Lonchura striata: one gene and its partner. The protein of the gene in region 2 interacts with the protein of the main gene of each other region in a biochemical or structural test. Links are inferred from orthologs where the notes say so. Each region holds a gene or a part of one and is shown on either strand. Other genes may lie near its edges.

Region 1 (10,901 bases), on a different chromosome or scaffold from region 2:
ATCACAAAGTACCACATCTACTTATTTTCAGAACACTTCCACCACTTCCCTGTGTAGCTTGTTTCACTGCTTTACAAACCTTTCTGTGACAAATTTTTTCCTAATATCCAACTTTAACTCCCCTGGTATGACTTAAGACTGTTTTCTCCTTTCTTATCACTTGTTACTTCGGAGTAGAGACCAGACTGGCTACACCATCCTGGGAGGTAGTTGTAGAAAATAATGAGATTTCCCCTTTTCTCCAGGCAACCAACTCCAGGTTCCTCAGCCACCCCTCATCAGACTTGAGCTCCAGATCCTTCCCCAGCTTCATTGCCCTTCTGGACATGGTCCAGCACATGAATGTCCTTCCTGAATTAAGGGGCCCAGAACTGAACACAGGTTTCGAGATGTGGCCTCACCCAGTGCTGAGTGCAGGGAACAGTCCTGGTCCTGCTGGCCATACTTTTTCTGAGACAAGCCAGGTGCCATTGGCTTTCTTGGCTACCAGGGCACTTGCTGGCTCACATTCAGCTGCTGTAACCAACACCCCCAGGTCCTTTTCCTGCTTTGCAGCCTGTCCTGCAGGGGGTTGTTGTGACCTAAGGGCCGTTCCTGGTAACTGGCCTGGTTGAACCTCAGAGCACTGGCCTCAGCCCATTGATCCAGACCCTGCCTGCCCTCCAGCAGATCAACATTCCCACCCAGCTTGGTGTTACCTGCAGCTGACGAGGGATGCACTCAATCCCCTCCTTACAAAGAGATGAAATAGGGTTGTCCCCAATATTGAGCACTGGGGACACCACTGGTGACCAGTTGCCAACTGGATTTTACACCACTCACCAGAAGTCTGGGCTCTGCCATCCAGGCATTCTTTTACCTAGTGAGCAGTAAAGCGTTATGAACACTGTGCCAAAATAATTCCGAATTCTCCACCAGTAGCATTGTGGCTAATGCATTGTCCACTGTTGCTTAGGCTGAATTGTGTCCTACAATGCCGTCCTATGTGATGGATCTTTTTTTGAAATGTACCTTTATTTGCTACTGAGCCGCCTACTCAGTGGCAGTAATCTTGCAAATTCAGTTTAAAAAAAAAAAAAGAAGAAGAAGAAAAAGGCATTGATTCTGTACTTAGCAAGTCAAAGATAAAATCATAGAAGACATTCCAGAAAATGAAGGTGGGCTGTAGGGGTTTTCACTGAAAAATGCTACTAAGAACAAGTAATTTGTATTGCTCTTTGCTTGCTCTGCCCTCACATTTTGTGGCCTTCTTGATTGAAGTTTGACAGTCCCATTAGGTATGAAATATTTTAAGAGTCTAATAGCAATACAGTGTTCTATCACTACTCTAGTCCATTGCATTATAGCCACGCAACTAATCCATGGCATGGTCTGTCTTTAAACAGCCATCAGTGACAGCTTGAAGAAAAAAAAAAACATATCTGAAAATATTTTTTTGCTTCTTTTCTCAAAAATATTCTTGCTCACAGTTTTTAGTTTCAAATTACAAAACAAGCAGATACTTTTTCAGATAAATCAGGTATAAAAAATAATAAAATGCCACAGAACTCAAAAGGAGACAAGGCCCTGGTGACAGGCAGGGGAGTGGCAACCATTAAAGCAATACCCCAGGACATTGTAAAAAACCAGGTGCCATGATAACTAAAATTGCAAAAGAAAATGTGTCCCTTAAATTGGAAATATCAGCCTGTCCCCACATATGGTTGTTGATTATTCTTTACACTAAAGGGCAAGGCTTTCAAGCTGATAGATTCAATGTACTGCAGGCTGGCAGTTAAAGCTGCATAAAAAATGCATAGTACATCAATATACAGACTTTAGGAAAAAAAATATGATATTGATTGTAAAATATGCGTATTGGCAATTGAGCTAAATTAAATGGAGTCTGTTTTAGCAGTTTTACAAAATAATTTTCCATCAACTTATCCCATAGCTATGCCTGGAATCACATCAGAATGGTCACTTCACAGCTGTGTGCTACTGTATTCAGCATTTATTAGAGCAAATATATGTAACAACAATTTAGTGTGCTGAGAAAAAATATGTACAGAGATCTTATGCACAGGCTGTGGCACCAAATCTCAAATGGCACCTCTGACCATCTCAAACATAACATTTCTCTTTTTAGAAATATGGAAAAATCTGTTTCTTCTTTGTTAAATATGGAAGCATATTCTAAGGTGTCTTCTTGATCAAAGCCTGAACCATGTAAGTTCCAATAACAGTGAGCTCTCAAGTGTCCATATAAAGAATGATAGGCATGATTATTCACAGGAACACTTTTTTTCTGTGTCTTTCATTTTCTCCCTTTGTGGCTCCATATTCTACATCTTCCCCACTGCTACTCTTATCATTATCAGGCACGGTTGTCTACAAACTTGCTGGGTTATCTTCTATTATAGATGAACCAAGAGACACTAAAACATTTAAAGAGCAATCATGGTAGGAAAGCACAGGAAGAAAAAGGGAAAGCAGCACAGAACTGTAATCCTTTATGCTTTCACTGGCATTTCACTCTGCAAACAAGAGAACTGCTACTTCCAGATCACCACATATCTATACTACCTGCTTATCAGTGGGGTAAAAATATGTGCTTTCTTACATGGAATGAGGGTTGCATTATTTAATCTTCTTAAATTCAATGAGTAAACTTGAGATATGCCTGAATGTGACAGACTAGGGAAACATTGTCATTCATTAAACTTCTTTCTAAAGTTATTTTTAATGGCAGTAAAGGGATGAACATTCATTATCTCTTCTAGTCTGGCATGTGTAAGGCATAACAAAGAAGAGATTCCATAGAAATTAGCATCTTACTCTTCAAGGTGCTAATTAAGCAGCAAGTTTTCTTCATGTACTGCACTGCTTCACCACTTCTGCCCCTCTTCTATGCAGGTTTTTGAGAAGCGGAATCAGTCATCTTCCTTGGTAATCTATCTGTGATAGATTTGAGTATCTACATTGCAAAACTTTTGCAACCAAATTTAGCAGTTCTAATTTGTTATACTGATTTTTTATTGTTGTTATTTTACATCAAAGCTATTCTAGAAATCAGCGTGTTAATTGCAGAAGAATAAATCTAGAGAGGTTTTATTCCCCTCTGCAAAATAAAATACATTTTGAGTAGAGAAATCACCAAAAGGAGGATTCTATAACTTAATTTCTCTTTATTCATTTTTAGCATTATATAGCTAGGAAAGATAAAATGTTTCCCAAGTGAGGAGCCAGAGGCTTATGGTCTTTCACTGAATTTTTACAAATTATTTTTCAAAACAATTTTTCTGTTAGGTGAGAACAGAACTCTTCAACTGTGTGTCACAGACTGAAGTGGTTCATGCCTTAAACATTGTTATGAAGGAGTTTTGCCCATTATAGCAAAAACTATATTCCTGGGATTGTAACAAGACATCCAAATCTTGAAATCATGTTGCAATTACACTCAATTTTTCAAGGCTTTTCTATACAAAGAACTTGACCAGAACAGCTATCACAAAGTAAGATAGTTATTGTTGATTAGCATTTTGTGTGCAGATGTTAATTATAAACTATTTTTATTATTCTAAAAAGGAGTGTCTGTGGTAAGTTCTCCAAGAATATCTGTTAAAGTGAGCATCTCAAACAAATTCTTCCATTTTGGGCGCTATGTGTTATTTGATGAAAACATTTCTACTCCAACTTTAAAAGGTAAAAAATATGGATAGCAGTCTTGTGCCCTTCTAACAAAGTACTTAACAGTATTTTTAAGAATACAATTGTTGAGCAAAGTACATAGAGAAAAAGTGTATATATTACATGAACTATATGTATTACAACCATTTTTCCAGTAATTCTGTAAGTGCCTTCAAAATACTATCATTTAATTGCTGGTGTTTCCTGTAGTAGTATAAAGCAAGTGGAAAAACCATAATCTAGCCATTGCTGAAATAAAAGAAGAGAATGAAAAGAAAATATGAACTGTACAAAAAACAGAGAAATGTGGGGGAAACACTAGGAATTTGCTTCACTTGCAAGAGAAATAAAATAGTGAACAGAAGAAAGGAACTTTAGTCTGACCTCATGCTTGAATGGATTTGCTCTAGTATAAGAGCTGCATTAATGAATCACAGAATCACAGAAAGCTTTAGGTTGGAAGGGACCTTAAAGTCCATCTCATTCCACCTCCTGCCATGGGCAGGGACACCTTTCATTGGACCAGGTCGCTCAGAACACTTGAACACTTGAGCCTTGGACACTTCAGGGATGAGTCAGCCATAGCTGCTCTGGGCAATCCATGCCATCATGCTCACTGTAAGGTTTAAGTTTATATATAAACCTAAATTTTCCTCTTTCAGTTTGAACCCATTATTCCTTGTCCTGTCACTACATTTTCTGATGAAGATTCCCTCTCCTGCCTCCCTTCAGATACTAGAAAGCTGCTGTGAGTTGTCCATGCAACCTTCTCTTTTCCAGGCTGAACAATCCCAGTTCTCCCAGCCTCTCCTCCCAGCAGAGCTGCTCCATCCCTCTGCTCCCCTCGGTGCTCCTCTGGCCTGGCTGCAGCAGGTCCCTGTCCTTGCTGTGCTGGAGCCCAGAGCTGATGCAGCCCTGCAGGTGGGGTCTCAGCAGAGCGGGGCAGAGGGGCAGAATCCCCTCCCTGCCCTGTTGCCTACTGGATTTTGGATGCAGCCCAGCACAAGGAGGGGTTTTGGGGCTTCCAGCACACACAGCCTGGGCATGTTAGTTTTTCATCAGCCATCAGTATTAATAACATCCTATATTGCCTATCCTTTAATTTCATTCCATACTGCCATTTCTTAACATTCCCCATGTTTATAACTTTTCCACCAGACTCTTGCCATATTTAAATGTTATATCAAGACAACATTTCCGTCATTGTCTGACTAAATAGTAAAGCAGTTCTACTGAAATCAATGAACCTTTGTACTTGCCTAAAACTATGATGTGCTGGGACACACAAAAAACTTTTCTGTTTTCAATGGGACAGTTTTGATTTTATAAAATGCATGTCATGATACCAGTAATGTATACTGGACAGACATACATACATACATATATGTATGTAGATCTTTTAAAAGAAATATTACTTGTGTTCTGTATACATTTTTTTCCACGTGAAAAATAAACTAAGATTTTGCCATGAAGAGCATCATGGTATCCTACTTCCTTGTTCTCCATTAAAATAGCTGTTAGAGATTTTATTTATAAATGATCTTTCTTCATTTTCTTGCTTTCTAACAAAATATAGCCATCATTGATGTTCTGATTACCAAAAAAATTACTTGTGATACTTTTCTTGTTATAGAATTGCTTTACATCAGTGGTAATGCATTTTTAAGATGTGACTGGAAACTACTCAGAGACACTATCCACTGTCAAGATGAGTAATTTTCCTTGATTCATAAATTTAAAGAACTATTACACCACCTGTATATTTAACAAAAAACTCTCATAGTCTGGTATAAAATAATAACATAATAAAAATATTTTGAAGGTCACCGTGTAACCAACCCATCTCCTGCTGTAGGTGGGATTCTGTCCAATCCAGCTGTATAGACAGGCACACAAGGAGTCACTGTGACTTCTTTCGCCTTAAAACAGCGCCTCGCCCTCACATGGCTTTTTTGTTAGCCGGAATATCCAAGTGTTTGTTCCGTGACTTCACCCCGTTATCCCTACTTCCTCCCTGAGAGGATTTGCCTGAAGGGAAACGCGCCGACAGGGACAACGCTCTTCTTAGAGACATTCAATCTTTTCCTAACGAAAAGTTTATTCTGTTGCAACAAATGTCCTTGAGTTTATGAAGATGTCACAGCTTAAAAAGGAACAAAACGGAGACAAGAACTGCTGTATTCAACACCCCAGAGCCCCGGGGATGCGCGGGGGCATTGCGGGGGCGGTGGAGGAGAGGGATGCTCCCGGAGCCGCATCCCGCCGCGGCTCCCCGCTGCCGGGCGGGCGGGCGAGCGGGCGGGTGGCCAGGGCACATCCCCGCCCCGGTTCCTGCGCTGGGAGCGGGGAGACGCCTCCTCGGACACGTTAAAAGTTTGAGGCGGCTCCGGCTCCGGAGGAGGCAGAGCGCGGCCGCGCACGGCAACAGCTCCGCGGGCGCGGAGCCCCCGGCGCACCGGGCACCGCCCCACGCCGCCGCCGGTACGGGAAGATGGCGAGCCGCAATCCGCGCCTGCTGCTCCTCCTTTTCGTGGGGTTCTTCAGCTGTAAGTGCCCGCGTCCCTGTCCCACGGGGCCACCGCGCCCCGCCGCCCCGGCCAGCTCCCTACTTGCGGGGCTTTCCGACCCGCCACGCCGCCGGGCTGTGCGGGGGACGCTCCCCGCGGGATCTTTACGCGTGTGTTGAGGCGGATGGCTCCTGGAGGTGCCGCTTCCCCTCCCTCATCCCGGGGCGAGAGCAGCCAAATAGCGTTTCCAGGAGCGAAACGCAAACGAGCGCGTCCCCCGCCACACGCATTCTTTCCGTGTGTCTTTCCATGGTTTCGCTCGGATGTAACCTGTTAAAGGCCGGCCTGGTTAAGTGCGAGTCAGCGGCCGTCTGCCGCCGTGCAAACTTTAGGATGCGGGCTGCATACTTTGTTTTTCTGGCCTTTACAAGGTGAATGAACGAGGGGCGGGAGCGCGTTTTCTGTTGCCAGCGCTGGATGCTGCATCTTCGGAACAGTTCTTGAGTTTCCAGTATTTTTATGCTCCGAACTCCTTAAAAATAAAAGGTTAAGGTTACAATAAGTTGAGCAAAGATTCCCCAGCCAGAAAGCACGCATAAATAATAGGAAAAAGCAGATATGTGCAGCACATACCTCCGGAGAGCCACTGAATTATCACACTGTTAGTAGTGCCAGTTGTGATAAGGCTGTCACTTTCAGATCATGTCTTCTTACAGTGCTTCTATTCTATGCTTTTTGTGTCTTACTGATGTTTGGGGAAAGGGCTGTACATGAAAATAGTGTTTTGAAAATATTTATGTTGCACCATCTTCCAATGAAATGACCACCTAGGACCAGCCCAGGATGGGTTCTCAATCCACTGTAGATGTGGAACATCCATGGTACTGATGCTGGGTATATTTTGAGGTTTACCTTTCATTCCTCTTAATAGAACATTACCTAACAAAAAGCTTTGTGTATATAAGCTTCCCCCCCCTTTTTTTTTTTTTTTTTTTTTTTTCAGAGTCCTGCAGTGGAGATATTTGAAGTTATGCATGTCTAATAGGTCATTGGCTTGGAATTTTTTTTTCCCCTCTCTTTTTTCTCCTACAAGACCTTATGGAAATGTTGGGCTGTTAAATGAACAGCTAGTGCAGAAATTCTCTTTCTCATAGTAACTAATAATAATAAACAACATGGCTTGCCTTTTGGTTTTTTTTTTTTTTTACTTTATTTCTTCTTAATTTCATTATATATCTGAGCAGGTGAAACTGCTGTGATTTTTTTTTTTTTGGTGACAGATTTCAGTGTGTTCAGGCTGCTCAGCCTTCTGGTTAGTTGTCTGTTGGCAGTGCTGGCTTTGACTGCTAAGGAAATGATAGAGCGTGCAATACAGTGCATCAAAGTCTGCTGCCTACATCGTTATCAGACTTGAAAGTTTCTTCTTGGTGGGCTTTTTTTTTCCCCTTACTGTCCCAATTCCAAAGAAACACTAGGTGGAAAGCAAGTTTACAAGAAAGGTGCTGATAAGAAGTCCTTTCATTCAGAAAGTGATTGTAGGTGCATGAGTGTGCAAATGCCTACTGTTTGTGGGAGTCAGAGGAAACCCAGGAAGAAATCCAGGAACCAGAAGTCTGCTGCTGCTCCTGTGGCTGGAATGTGTTTACATGAACAGTAAGGCTGAGTAATTCAGGTGTCCAAGCCACCTGAATGGGCTGAGCAGTCTCTTATGTGGGACCCATGTGCTCTGGAGATGGTGGAGAATGGGCAGAAACTAGTGAGGAAAAGGAAGTAGTGATACCTCACAAGCAGCATATGGGTAACGTGGCAAGAGGACACACCCTCAGGCTGAGTCAGGGGAGGACATCAGGAAGAACATGGAAAAGGTTGTTAAGCATTGGAATGGGCTCTCAGGGAGGTGGAAGGGTCACCATCCCTGGAAGTGTTCAAGAAACAACTGGATGTGGCATTCAGTGCCCTGGTTGTGAAAGTGCTGATTGGTCAAAGGTTGGACTCAATGGTCTTAGAGATCTTTTCCAGCTTAAATGGTTCTGCTTAAATGGTTCTGTGGAGCAGGTATAGAGAACTTTCTTGGTAGCTGCAGAAATTAAAAGCTGTGTAAGTTGGTCACAAGGCATCAGCATAGCCAAGGTAGATGATGTTTGCTTTTCATTGGGAACTTGCTAAGAAATAGTCATGCAGAAATTGTAGTTTCTGTGAGCTAATCATCCCTTCCACCTTTAATTTATGGAAACTAAAGAAGCTGGGAGTCTTTAATCATGTTCTCTTTCAGCACAGGCTTCTGGAATTGACATCTCAAAGTTGAAAAAGGTGCCGCAGCGTAAGACTTGTGAGCTCTGTTGGCAAGACAGAATATGTACAGAAAATGTTATTAACCATCATGGCTTCATGGGAGGAGATAGTATGTACTGACCAAATGGCCTTTCTGAGAAGCATCCAGGTGTGATTTTTCTTAATATTTGTGCACACTGAAATGAGCCTTCAGCTGGCGATGCTGGAAGCAAATGCAGTACAATATGTGTGTGAGAGGACAGTGCAGAGGCAATAAATAGTAGTCTTACCTAAATATTTGATGGAGCTCACTGGGGTAGTTTGAGAAGTAAGTAAGGTGATATTTTGTTTATTTTTTTCTGGCTTAAGAAAACCCCACTCCTTAATTCTCAGAAACCTTTCACTCAGATACAGAGATTCTAGACCAAAGAAGCCTTTTGTTTCTTTTCCCCCCCAACCCCAACAAAAAAAATCATAAAGCTGACTGCATTGCTGTAGGAAGTGACAGTGGAAGTGTTTAAACTATGCTTTCTTGACTATATGTGAGAGACAACTGATGTACTCAAAATGGAGACTATTGTCAACCCTCAGCCTTTTGTTGAACCCTCTTTGCTGGATTGGCTTGGTAGGAACTGATTCCTAAATTAGGCCATATTCAGGTGAGATGGGATTTCTTAAATTTGTAAGACTGCATATTTCTCTAGTAATACCTGTTCAGCATAATGCTATAAAGCAGACAGCCTGGTTTTGGAGCAGGACTGGGGGAAGAGGAATTAACTGAATGTTCATTTCATTGCTGGTTTAGGTGAGAAGCAGTATTTATTTGCTTATTTAGTAACCTTTACAATTTCTCCCTCTTGCTTAGATCCTCTCACCTCAGAAGAAACTGGCTGTGAGTTACTGATTTCTCTCAGAAATCATGGCTTTTGCAGCATTTCAGCAAGTCATGCTGTTTTCCTGGGCATGCTGCTTAGAAGGGTCTCTGTTTTCCTGAGAGGGCTCAGGCACAAGTGTTGCTGTTCTGTCTCCCTCCTGTCTCTCTCCAGCAGAGGCAGAGAGAGCTCTTCCTTGGTTGGCCCCATGGTATCATTTTTCTAAGCTGCACAAAAAAAGAAAATGAGGGTGGCTGTCTTCCCTCACTGTATACAAGACAAGAAATGTGCCTGGAAATGTTACATCAAGACAGTTGCAATTCTTTTCTTCTTTTTTAAGGTGGACTTGTGCAAGAGGAGAACTTTGTTATTGCTTGGCCTCCGAGGTCCTGTTTTCTCAGCTTTAAAGTTGCAACAACTCTTTGTTCATGTTGTAGGATACATATTTCTGGTAACTGTGAATATCATAGGGCATCTGGCATTAATAATGACAGTTAAAGCTACCACTGTGACTGGCAGATCTAATTGAGCCTGGATGAGGTCTTCCCGTTGTCTATTTAACTGAATTACACAAAGATATTTATGTGATTATTTCCTGTAATTCCTGCTGCAGCCTATTTTGGTAACTTCCAGGTTCTGCTTCAGAAACTGGCTGATGCCAGTGCAAATGATTTGGTGAGAATACAGAAGTAGTTGTTTTTTGACATCATCTTTTCAATTGATTGATTTAAAAGAACACCTAGTTTCATCTGTCATGACTTAGAGCTAGCAAACCTGTCTGTGTTCACTAACTCCAATTGTTATTTGGGATGTGTGCAGACCTGTTTTTAAAACATTACAGCAGACACTTACCCTTCCTCCAAGGTTGCCCCAGGTGGTTTTATTTCTTCTCAAGTGCTAGTGGTCACTAGGGAGAAGTCCTCTTGTGAAGTATGGGAGAATCTTCTTGTACATCTGATACTAAGAAAATTCAGTTTCCTCATAAATTCACATGAGTAAATAGTAGTAGTATTTCTTCACTGAAGATAGACAGTGACATGAACGTGAACCTTCTGCAGTAGCAGTAAGCAAGCTTCCTTTGTTTGAGGTGGAATAGATTTGGGTTGGTAGTGCTTTTAGAGAGCCAGGAGCAACTAGTAATATAGTTCTGCAGTTGGGATGTAAAATTTTCCATCTGGTATGATCTACTTAGAATCCATCAACACTCAAAATGTAATTCTTGTGTTGGAGCATTTCTGAAGACACTTGCTCCCTGCACATGGTGAACCCTTTTAGGAACACTTTTCTTAAAGTAAGGCTTAGTGTCATAATTTCCCTTAGAAATGCTAGAGGTGACTCCAGTACAAATGCTTATGTAAAGGAAGGTTACTTAAAAATGTGCACACAGCCAGAAATGTCCACAGTGCAAAATAAATATCTTGTATATTAAAGCAGGTGGAGCCCAAGGTAGACATATGTATTTGTCCTTGCAGACTGTTTTCCAGGGCCATATGGAATGGCTAAACTCCCTTGAAGTTATGTAAGGATACCAAGCAAAACAAAATTTGCATAAAATAGTGTCCTTGTGGATATGTACAATGAG
Region 2 (11,543 bases):
AATAAAATATAGAAAAAGAGGAGGGGAAGAAAGAAGATTTTGAGGTTAATGAAAGGAAAACATGAGAAATCATAGAGTGAAACAGATAATGTGTCACCTCTTTCTGATTATTTTTTTCTTACTCTGTCTCCTCTAAGTCAAGAACTATCTTAAAAGCAGTGTTCAAATTTCAGCTGTCTGCTTTTGCCCCATTCCTCTTTCAATACTTGATTCTGGTCATAGCATGTACTTGGAGATTTTTGGAAGTTTTCAGTGAGTAGTTTTGCTGCAGCAGTGAAGGTGACAGTGTATATCCTACTCACACTCCCTGCAAGGAAATGTGTAATACATTCCCTGCTGGTCCTGCATGCTTTGACACTTGACTGCTGGCCTGTGCCCTAGAAAAGGCTTTCTGCAGGTGCCATGGGACTTTGCTCTGGAGCAAATATTTATGCAGGAGTGATAGCATGTGTTTGCATCAGGAGTGTATTTAACTGCATGTGTAACAGAGATGAATGTGTTCCAAGTGCATGTCTGTATTTTTATCCCTCTAAATTCCTGTGCAAATTGGAAAGTCTTTGCTGTAATATCCTTACCCTGTGCAGTCCTCCCTGTTACCATCAACACAGGGAGAAGCTGAGCAAGGGATATATTTCCCTTCAAGCTTTATCAATGTTTTCCCGCAAATATCAAGATAACGATTTTTTTTTTCAAAGCCATGCCGCTCTCCCATTCATTTTCAGTCCAACAAGGATGGGGACAGGATGTAAAATTAAAGATTCCTAAAGAGGAACAACAGTTGAGAAATATATCCTTAATATGTTTATAAACCCCATGAATAATTTGTGTGGTGGAATATATGTTCTATCATGTTTTGATAGGCCTTTTGACTAACATATCCTGTGGGTGTTCTTCTTCATGTCACAGGCAGGTATTTTTTCAGGAATGCTCATCAATAGATAAAACCTGATAGTGGCAAATAATTTGGCATAGCTTCTCTTCAGCAAATGGGTTCCTCTGGCAGTATCTGAATTTGTTCCACCTCTGCAAGTACTTGACAAATGAGCCCAGTACTGTAGCTCTGTGTTGATATTTTTTATTCGTTATTTGGGTAGAGCTGATAAGGCCTGAGGGTTTGATCCAAAGCTCACAGAAGTCAGGGAAAAGACTCCGCAAGCCTTTTTTAGTCACTGGATTTCTGTATTCTGTGTTTCAGAGCTTGGAAATCTGTGCCAAGAACTTAATCAATAACTGAAAGGCTGGAAGAAATGCAAAGAGCAAACTTCTAAACAGGCAGAACAAAACAATACAAAACAAAACAAAACAAAAAAAAAAAAAAAAAGGAAAACATCCAATAAATTCTCATCAGAAACAAAATGTCTCCAAGTAGCTTTTACAGGTGAGGCTATAAGTGAAATAACTTTCTGAAATTTCAAGGAAGTACCAGGCTTCTAAAAGCTTTAAGACAAAACTGAAATGGACATCCTAGAGTCCCAATATCATATATTCTACAAGTACCCTTTAGTTCAGTCTTCTGTATATTAAATAGGTTCACCTAGATTTCTGATGCTGCTTTTAAATCTCTTAAATTCTGCTATTTTTAACAGCTTTATTTTTACAATTTTTAATAGTTGCTGGTAATTGAAAAGTTGCTACAAATTTAATTTTACTGATGATATGTTTATATGTTTGTGTTAAATATTATAGGGCTAGGCAGCAATGACCCCTCTACTTAGATTATCTAGTATTTTCCATGGTGGAAAATACTGTGTTTAGTTTTTCATTTTTTAGGTGTTAGGAAGCTTTGATGACTGAATGTCTGCAGCTGCCCTTTGAAACTGGTCAGGGATAAAATTCCAAATCTGTGTAAGTGCTTCGTCTTTGTCCTGTGAAATTCTGCAGGGATTTTCTGGTCTCAGCTGTTGACATTCAGTGTTCCTGTTCTCCCTTTTCGTTTCCTCTGTAAAGCTTGCTGAAACTATAACTGATGATGTGCTTTGGGTATAACTAACCTCATACCCCCAAAGCAAGCCCTAGGGTGGCTGGATCCTGCAGAACAGCCTCGGTGGCTGCAGAACAGCTCTGTGGCATGAGAGAAAATGAGAGAAGGTGAGAGATCATTCTCGTCCCAGTGCAGTCCCTGTGGTGGGTGTCCCTCCTGGCAGGCACAGGCTTACAAACTCCTCATAGCCCTAAGGGCAAATAAAAGGAGCTGGTCAGCTCCAATGTGTGACTTAGATTTGTGCTTTGCAGTGCAGGGACATTCAGAACCCTACCTGTATCATTATGTGAACATAATTTTGTTCAGCCCATAGCATAAATATAGTGTGTGGTATGAGAGCAGGCTGAAGCAATTGGTGTCAATGTTTTCCTTATGACATTCCATAGCTCTAGCACACACAAAGATTATTTTGGTATCTCCTGGCAATGCCCCCTTGTGTGCTCTGGACACCTCCAGTAACTTCACTCTTTTCATGCAGCTCATGTTTTTCACTTTTTAGACCTCTAATGATTCTGCTTCCTTACCTGTGGATTGCCTTTAAGGGCCCAAACCAAGAAGTAACTCAATATGTTTATTTCAGGCCTTCCCAGATCTCAGCTCAATAAGCTATTAGTTGATATAAATTAGATAAAGCAATTCCATTTATACAGTTCCATGATGGGTGAAAACCACCCGAGCATTATCAAGAAAACTATTCAAATTCCTCAAACATAATTCTTTTAAAAACAGCAAAATTCAGGAAAAGAGTAGTGAATTTACCTATACTCATTCCTTAGCCCTAAACACCTCCCCACTACCCAAAGTTGCTTGAGACACAGGTTGGAGCCCCTGGAAAGGGTAACAGTCTTGTGGCTTTTCTTGAAAACAATACATTGTTCTTTGCTACAATTTCCTCCTTCTATTATACCACAAGGAAAGTTCTTGTCTTCCCAAATTTGTGTGTCTGCATTCCCTAAGTCGAACATCAATACATGTGTGATTCTGTAACTACCTCTTACTGATCTGAGGGCTTTTCAATCCTGAAATCCCAGACCCTTTTGAGAAATTGTAGAAAATAAATTTTTATTCAGTTTCTTTTTTTTTTTGTTGTTGTTTTTGTTGTTTTTGTTTTTAGACCAGGGCTAGCCACAAATTATTTAAAAAGCTTTAATAATTTTCTCAATCATAAAAGAAAATGATGGGAAACACTCCCTTACTTCTTTGTGGAAGAACCATCAGTATGGCAGGAAAAAAGTCACAAAATATAACATCTGAGAAATCAACCCATTCCTATAGATGAAAGGTTATCCATGGAAAGATCTCAGTCACAGACATGTTTACTTTGATTAAATTTCTACCTCAGAGTAAAATGTAAACGACTCAGAACTTTAAATTCAGAATTTTGAAAAGGAACTTAAGGCTTTACCTAATAACTCAGCAGAAGTGTTACAGCAGGTAGCTATCTTAAATCATTAAAACCTAGTACTGTTTGGTATATCCATAAGGCATTTTCACAAATGGCACTTTTTAAAAAAAGACCTGTAATTCTTCAAGGAATACTCTTGCTGTTCAGTTTGACACTGGTCTTTCTACAGTACTGTATGAACTTTAATGGGCTTAAGGAAATATCTATATTTAAAAGAAACTGAACTTAATACATACTCTACCTGGAGTTGGGGTTTTCTTATGAAACCAGGGAATATCTGTATGCCATGAACAGACTACTAAACCTGAACACATCCAGAATTATTCCATAAAAATTCTCTGATGTAGAGTATAAAGATGGGATAAACTGTGAGATAACTCTGGAAATCAGCATCATTCCACTGTCTGAATAATTTACCATTCCCGTAAAAAAGGCTTTTGATAATCTGCATTTAATTGCAAGATTCTCACTCCTTGCATGTTTGCAGCAGCGGCTTTCAACTGGTTGGCTGTTTTGAACAAAACTTGACTAGTGATCATTAGCAGCTTTGATTCTCTCCATCCCATACTTCACCACCTACTTCTTCCTGCAAGACAGATGATGTTTTCATGGAAATCCTCCATCAGTGTACCATTAATAAATGAATTGACAGGTTCTGTGGTCTGTTAGCCCATGAAAGTTCAACATCCAGAACCATATATATGCCACCCATATTGCAGCCTGGATAGTAGTTGTAATTTTTTTAAACCAGCAACTCTTGCCAATTCTTCTCCTGATTAGTATAATCCTTTTCTCATAATCTCTTATAATAATGTTTTATACTTCATTTACCGTACATAATTAGGCCTCATACAATCTCTCAGCCTTGTTGTATTTTTTTTTAAAGTTCATTCTTGCTTTTAAGGAAGAACAAAACAAACACTATATGTGGTAAATTTTATTTTAAATGCTTTCAGAATGATGTGTGTATAATTTGTGTGTGTATCTAGTGGGGAAGAAACGCAAATCTTTGAGGCTCTCATTCCTGTTAGGTCTATCACTATTCATGTTCAAGTCTTTAAGTTTTGGCCTTAAATCAGATCCCAGGACAGACTTGTTTTCTTGTACGTCATTACTGAATTTTCCTGTTTCACACATTTAATGGAAAAACTATCAATATTTCTTTCTAAACTGTTGGAGGTTTTTTTTGTTTTTTTTTTTTTTTTTTTTTTTTTTTTTTTTTTTTTCCAGGAGACTGTTAGAACAGCTGGGAAAACTGCCAAGCAACTTGTTAGAGACAGTAGGAGCAGGAACTAAATCACAGAAAAACATGAAAAACCTGTAGCTGCGTCTGAACAGTGAAATAGTTACTATCCACCAGAAAGAGTATTAAGCCTTATAAATATCAAGTTTTAGAGCAGTGTGGAAAAACTTCTAATATGCAACATTTTGTTTTAGCAGATAAATGCAAATGACAACTGAATGTGAAACATTACAAAGTCTATGACATAGTAAAGTTCTTGTTAAAAACAGCCTGGGAAGAGCCTCTATTGATTTCACATTTTCACAGTCCTTTCTGCAAGTTTCTTAAGTGATGTATATTAAACCAAGGATTTATAGCTCTTTCATCCTTTCCCAGCAGCTCTTATGATCACCTAGAAAGCACAGAAGCTGCAGGTTAGAGGACATTTTCATCTTTCTCCAATAATAAACTTGATGAGCTATGGCCATAAAACTGCAGAGTGTACTCAGTTGTCTCAGTCATGAGCTGTAAACTGTTTACACCAGTTTTATTTTATTTCTGCCTTTCTGAGCTCATGCATACTGCCTTTATTCCACACAAGTGAACACTGGGGATATGACAAAATATAACAACGCAGGTGTGCTTGTTTCCTGCTTTAAAAGGCAGACTATTTCTTATTTAAATTCATATATATTAGTCCAGATAACTCGGGTGGGTAACTAATAAAACTGGCATCTAAGCTAAAAATTATCTGTAGGTCAGCAAATGGATTCTTTGATCTTGTGAGTGCCCCAAAGCTTTCCAAAACTGAAATTAATAGAAAAAGGTTCTATAGATTTGAATGAAATTGGACATTATTCATGGAACCAAATTAATATAAACTGACTCCTCCATTTTCTATACTAGAAACTCCTAACTAGAATGCAAAGGGTTAGGGATGCCATTCTCACCCTTGACTTAACAGGGCAATAATTCTACCTTTGATGTTTTAAAAACATCATTAATTCTGCTCCATACCTCTGTACCTACTAAACCGCAGACAGCTTTGCCATTTGTACCAGGTTTGAAGTTCTTAAATTTACTAATACTATTGCTAAGGGAACAGGAGCAGACTGCCAGCTGGGACAGCTGCCGGGCAGGGAGCACCAGAGGACACGTGCTGAGTTGTCCGGTGTTGTAGAAGGATGTTGACATTATGTGCTACAAAGCTTACTTGAATTTCACATATTTAGCGCTGTGTGTTCAGGAAAAAGAAAAGAAAGAAGAAGAAGAAAGTTTTTTTTTTTTTTTTTCACTGCTTTCTTGTCCTCCAAACTCTGCTTTCACTCTAGTTAAATTGTTTTACCATATCTACACAAAAGATATATATTGTCAGGCCACACTGAATGACCAATGAACTGTGCAATTCCATTGTCCTCAATGAAATCCGTGGAAAAAAGTGAACGATATCTGCAAACCCCTATGACTTCTGACGGCTTTGCAGAGGAGATTGCTCAGCGGTTCCATTGATGCTGGTGTTACTGACGATGAAGGAGGTTTTGCACAGTGCCGGTCCTGTTGCGTTAACAGATGCCCGAACGACCAGGAAGGCCATCTGATTTCGGCCGTGAGCGGTGGCTGCGTGCCCCGGACACCGGGAGGAACAGCAGAGCACCGCGGTGTCCAGCCTTCTCTGCGGTGCCGTGCCCTGCTTTCCCCGGACCCGCGTACCTGAGGCAGGGCGGCGGCGCCCGTTTCCCCCCGTGCACCGGGACCAGGACTTCGCGGGGCTCCTTGTGCCGGTGCGGCCCCGGCTCCGCATCCCCGGTTCCCGGCGGGGCAGAGCGAGGCGGGGGCAGCCGCACCACCTCGGGCTCGCTCGGGGCTCTCGCTCCGATCGTGTGCGGGCCCGCCGGCTCCCCCGCCCCGTCCGCGCTGCCGGCGCCCCGCGGAGCGGCCGGCTGCCCCCGCCCCGCCGCGCCGCCCCACGCCTGCGGAGCGGAGCCAGCGCCGCCGCCCCGCCCGCCGCCGCTGCGCGCCGGGGCAGGAGCCGGGCAGGTGGCCGCGGGCAGCGCCGCGGCATGTGAGAGCCCCCGGCCCTCGGGAAGGCAGCACCGGCCAGTCCTGCGCTGCCCTCCCTTCCCCGCGCCTGCCGGGCCGGCCGCGAAGCCGGGGCAGAGGCAGGGCGGCCGCAGCGGCAGCCCGGCGGCGGCCGGGGGCTGAGCGCCGCGCCCCGCCGGGGGGCGGCCGTGGCGGAGGGCGGAGGGGAAGAGGAGGAGGAGGAGGAGGAGGAGGAGGAAGGCTGCGCGGGGCCGGAGGGACGCGGGAGCCCCCCGGCCGCACAGGATGAAAGTCACGGTGTGCTTCGGGAGGACGCGGGTGGTCGTGCCCTGCGGGGACGGGAACATGAAAGTTTTCAGCCTGATCCAGCAAGCGGTGACCCGGTACAAGAAGGCGATCGCCAAGGTGAGGGGCGCGGGGAGCGGCGCCCGCGATCAATATGGCGCTTCCCGGAGCGGGGAGGGAAGCGAGGGGGAAAGTCCGGGCTGCCCCGCCGGGGAAGCGGCGGGAGCGGGGCCGGGGGCGGCGGCGGAGCCCGCGGGAGCGTGTGCCCGGCGCCGCCGGGGAGCGGGGCCGGGGGGCTCGGCCCCTCCGCGGCGGCCGGCGCGGCCCCTCCGCGGCTCCCCGCGGGCCGCGGCCCTTTGTTCGCCGGTGCCCGGCGGCCCCCGGGGGCGTCGGTGCGGGAGCCGCCCGAACGCGGCCGGCAGAGCGGCGCGGGGTCCGGCGGTGCCGGGTCTGCCCCGGGGCGGGTGGCGGGGCCGCGGCGCCGCGGAGGGCTGGAAATCCAGCTCCAGGCTTCCCGGCCCTCCAGGCCCGGCGGGGAGGGCGGTGCGAGGGGACCCCGCCGCGGGGGCGTCCGGCGGCGCCCCGCGGGCCGCCCCCCGCGCCGGGGAGGCTGCGAGGGGCCCGCGGCCGCCCGCGGCTCCTCCGCGGCTCCTCCGCGGCCGCCGCCCCCGGGGGAGGCTGCGCGCCAGCGGGACGCTCCGCGGCGCCCCGGGGTGCGGGGGGCGCCGGCCCGGCCCGCGGCGGGGCCCGGCAGCGCCGCGCCGGCCTCCCGCAGCCCCATGTTGAAATCCCTGGCTGTGCGTGTGCAGGCAGCTGCAGACTTGGCTTTCCCTCCATGGGCAACATGTTGGGTTTTGAGTTTCTTCCCTTCCTTTTTTTTTTAAAAATATTTTTTTTCTCTCTTTCCTCCCTTCCTCCCTTTCCCACCCTCCCCGTGCTTTCTTGTCGCTGCAAACTTCTTTTTAATCAACTGGTTTGTTGGGCAGTATGAGCATCGTTGGCTGAGAACTTCAGCAGTGCCCTTCCCCTTTCCTCTGCCTTATCGATCCAAGAAGTTTTAGTGTGCTTCTCTCTCTTATCCCTTCTGAGACATTTTACACTTTTACCGGTTTTACTTTGGCCAATGCACACTGCCAGCCTGTCCTGAAACATGCAATGGAAGGAATATTGTGACCGGTTCATTGATTGGTTTGAAGTGATTCCTGAGAAAATTTTTAAAATCAGCTTTTTAATAGAGAATTGCTGATGCTGGGAGGAGAACAGGAACTAAGTTTCCCATCATCTCCCCACCTAAGAACGTGGGTTTGAAGACAGCAAACATATTCTGATTCTGTCTGGAAAAAAGAGAAAAATGATTCTTGAGGATACGGCTGTGGCTGCATACCAGCTGTCATTCATATACAGCAGTTAATGCACATGGCAGTCTACTTGCATGTAGGAGTCTGGGGCTGAAAGTACCTCTCTGGTTAAGGTAAAGCAGTGAACAGTAAAGTGAGACTGTTTATGGAACACTGAATGCCTCATTGGGCCATTCACATGAGAAGTGTTTGCAGCATTTGTTCATCAGTGTTAGAGCATTAATAAAAATAATTACTTTGCTGTGTTTTTTTCCAAAACTGTGGCCCGTGTAACTCCTGTGGCAATGGGCTGCATCCTGGCTTCCAAGTATTAAGCTGTGTTAAAGGGTGGCAGTTGCATTCTGCAGGATAATGTTAAACCTGGGAGGGATTGAAGTTGTAAGCACAGGGGACACACACAACAGTGACCAGGAAAAGGTTACATCATTGCAAATTTCATTATAGAAAAAAAGTGGCCCACCTGTGGAAGCATGGGAAGGAAAACATGTAACTGACTATGGCCATGTACTTCTTAAAGAGACAGTTTGCAGAGGGGCAGCCAGACTTTGACTGGTTCCTGGTATCAAAAGCTCTGCATCCTGGGTTAAAATGACATGGTGGTTTTATTTATTAGTATTTATATGGTGGTTATGCTAAATGCCACTGGTATGGACTTGAGGTAGCTGCAATTACTGAGATTGTTTCTATTAGATGGAAATTCTGTGGTTGAAAACAGTAGCAGTGTCCATGGGCTTTCTCTGAGTGTTTTATATGGTCACTGTCAAACCTTACTTTTAACTTGAATTTGCTGACGATTTTCTGTGGTGATGTTTAGGTGGGAGGGAACCGGATCTTACAGTAAGTAAGTTTTGTAAGTAGGTGTATAGTGCTGTTTGCTGTGCTTGCAGTAGAGTAACATAGTAATTGTCTGGTTTGGATGCTAGAACTCCACAGATGACTCTATTTTTGTAGCAGTTAGATGGCTCCTTTCTATGCTTGTGTAGCAGATGTGCAAGTCTTCACTTCGTAAGGAGACAAGAGAGGGGACAAAGTAATTCCTGAGAGGATCAAAGTATATGTGGCCATATGAACTTACAGTCTGGCAGCTGGTATCAAACTGACACTGAAATCTATTTCACCACCACTATGCTTGTATGGAAAGAATATCTGGTGGAAGATTATTCAAAATATTTGAATGAAGTCTATGGTTTTCATACTTATAGGAAAAGCAGCATTTCTCATCCTTCAAGAATGTGTGTGTCTACTTTTTGCAGAAGTTCTTCAGGAGAACTCCTTGAGAACTGAGTTGTCAGCCCTTCCCAGATTTCCCCCCGCTTTGTCACGGTTTCCCAGTTGTGATTAGCAGTGAGGCTGCCCAAAACCATGCTTGCAGAGTGCCAGGAGGGAATAGCTTCAAAATTTGACCTCAGTGTTCTGACTTGGTATTATTTAGGTTGAAGAGACATGTTGACAATGGAAAAAGTACTTATGGAGAGCAATCCACATAATAGTACAGTTCTCCTCGCTGTAAAATTTTAGGAGTTAAAGACATACAGATAATACAACTGCAGATAACTGCAGTTAGTTCTGCTATGTCTTTGATCAGGATTCATAAATCTCCAAAAATTTATTATGGATTAACATTGCTGTCAATGCTAAGTCTTTGTGTGTGGAATTAGTTATCAATATGAAAGGCTGTGTTTAAAGGCTGGTCTGTGTAGTGTGTATAAATTTTTGCGTTCTTTTACTTTTATTCCAAGAGAAGCTTTGTGTATGAAACATGATTCATTCTTTCTGCAGGTTGTGTTTGCTGGAAATGAACAAGCAAATGATAAGAGGTGTTTGAAGTGTCCACCTTGTTCAGGGCAAGTGGAGTCAGCAAAATCGATCATGTTAAATGAAACCCAGTTTTCATGGGGGCAGGCTAATGGTGCACTTGTGTGTGGCTGGATGGAGTGATGCAGCCTCTGGCACCATCTCTGCCGAGTCTTAAAGGAGTACAACTTGGGCAGGAGGAATGGGAGATGTAGTTTCCAGACCCTGCTGGTCAAGGGTTGTGCAGATTTGGAGTTGGTGTAGTCCTAGCAATTAATGTAATGGTTAAAAACTTGCAAGAAGGTAAGTGTGATTTAAGAGGGGAGGTCAGCCACATCTGAGTGGTTTAACATTGAGATGATGGCCTGCACCGTAAGGGAGAAGGCAGACAGTCAGTTGAGATGAAACATGCTTCTCAAATATTGAACCAGTGTTAAAAGGTGGAAAATTATTATAAAAATCATGTATTGAGCAACTATTGAAAGGAAGTAATTCTGCATCTTGTAACTTTGGTTTGATCTAGATGTAGCCAGAGATGTTTCTGACTTTTTTTGTTGACTTTTGACTGTCAGTATAATCTCTTGTGCTTTGGTTTTTGGGGAGGATATTGTAAGCATTTTATCTTCTTTTTCTTGCAAGTAAAAGTTGCATTGCTTAAGCAATGGGTAGATTAAAAAAAAAAGTGATGCAAATGGTAAGCAAGAGAATGCAATAGGAAATTGTAGATTTGCTCGAGTTGTTCAGTGGCATGTTGAGTCCCTGGAGGGGTTATTTGGTCTCCATGATAGTTCAGGCTGATGCCCGGCATATCATGAGCTTATAGGGTGCTCCTAGACTTTATATATAAAACTAATTTTCCAGTTAAAATAAATAAATTAAGTTTTACTGCTGAATCAAAAAGATTTAAATAGAAGTCTTGAGACACCTTTCCCCTCTCCCATGTCAAATGCTGTAGGAGATGAAGTTTTGTGAGGGTTTTGATGTTGCATGGAACAATACTTCAATTGTTAATTTGAAAACTGCAGTGCACTAATATTTGTGAAAAGAAATTGTAATCTGCTCTTTGATAGTGTTAGAGGCTGTTGCTGATAAGAGACCAGAACTCCAGGAGAGTTGGCAGTGTAAGCGAAGGTAACAGGTGTCAGATGACCATATTCTCTTGTAATTTGTACACTGGGGGCTTAAGCCACCCAAAGCTTAAAGCTGCATCTCTTTGGTAGGTCTGACATTCATCAGCAGGGAATTGTGAGGGATGAGGGTTGAAACCTGAGTGATTGTGTCTGTGAAGCTTGCTTTTTTTTCTGTTTTTGATTTTATCCCCCCAGTGCCAGCTAACGGGGACTATTTGCTTAGAAGTCAGTTCTCAGGCAGCCGGTTCTCTGCCAGGTACACAACGGCAGCTTTGATGCAAGTTGTGTTCTGTAGAGCAAACAGTTGCACAGTTCCTCATGACTGTGT

The links.
Region 1: the proteins of PARD3 (region 2) and JAM2 form a complex in vitro, tested with the Homo sapiens proteins (2 studies listed by BioGRID and IntAct, with this or other methods). The link is inferred for Lonchura striata from reciprocal best matches to the Homo sapiens genes PARD3 and JAM2.

The regions. Positions count from the first base shown.
Region 1 is NC_134604.1:5,385,814-5,396,714, reverse strand, and holds the start of JAM2 (junctional adhesion molecule B), read left to right. Parts: upstream 1-6,008; 5' UTR 6,009-6,160; coding exon 6,161-6,215; intron 6,216-10,901. UniProt on the Homo sapiens protein: Junctional adhesion protein that mediates heterotypic cell-cell interactions with its cognate receptor JAM3 to regulate different cellular processes. Plays a role in homing and mobilization of hematopoietic stem and progenitor cells within the bone marrow.
Region 2 is NC_134603.1:143,724,145-143,735,687, reverse strand, and holds the start of PARD3 (partitioning defective 3 homolog), read left to right. Parts: upstream 1-6,804; 5' UTR 6,805-6,933; coding exon 6,934-7,053; intron 7,054-11,543. UniProt on the Homo sapiens protein: Adapter protein involved in asymmetrical cell division and cell polarization processes. Seems to play a central role in the formation of epithelial tight junctions. Targets the phosphatase PTEN to cell junctions.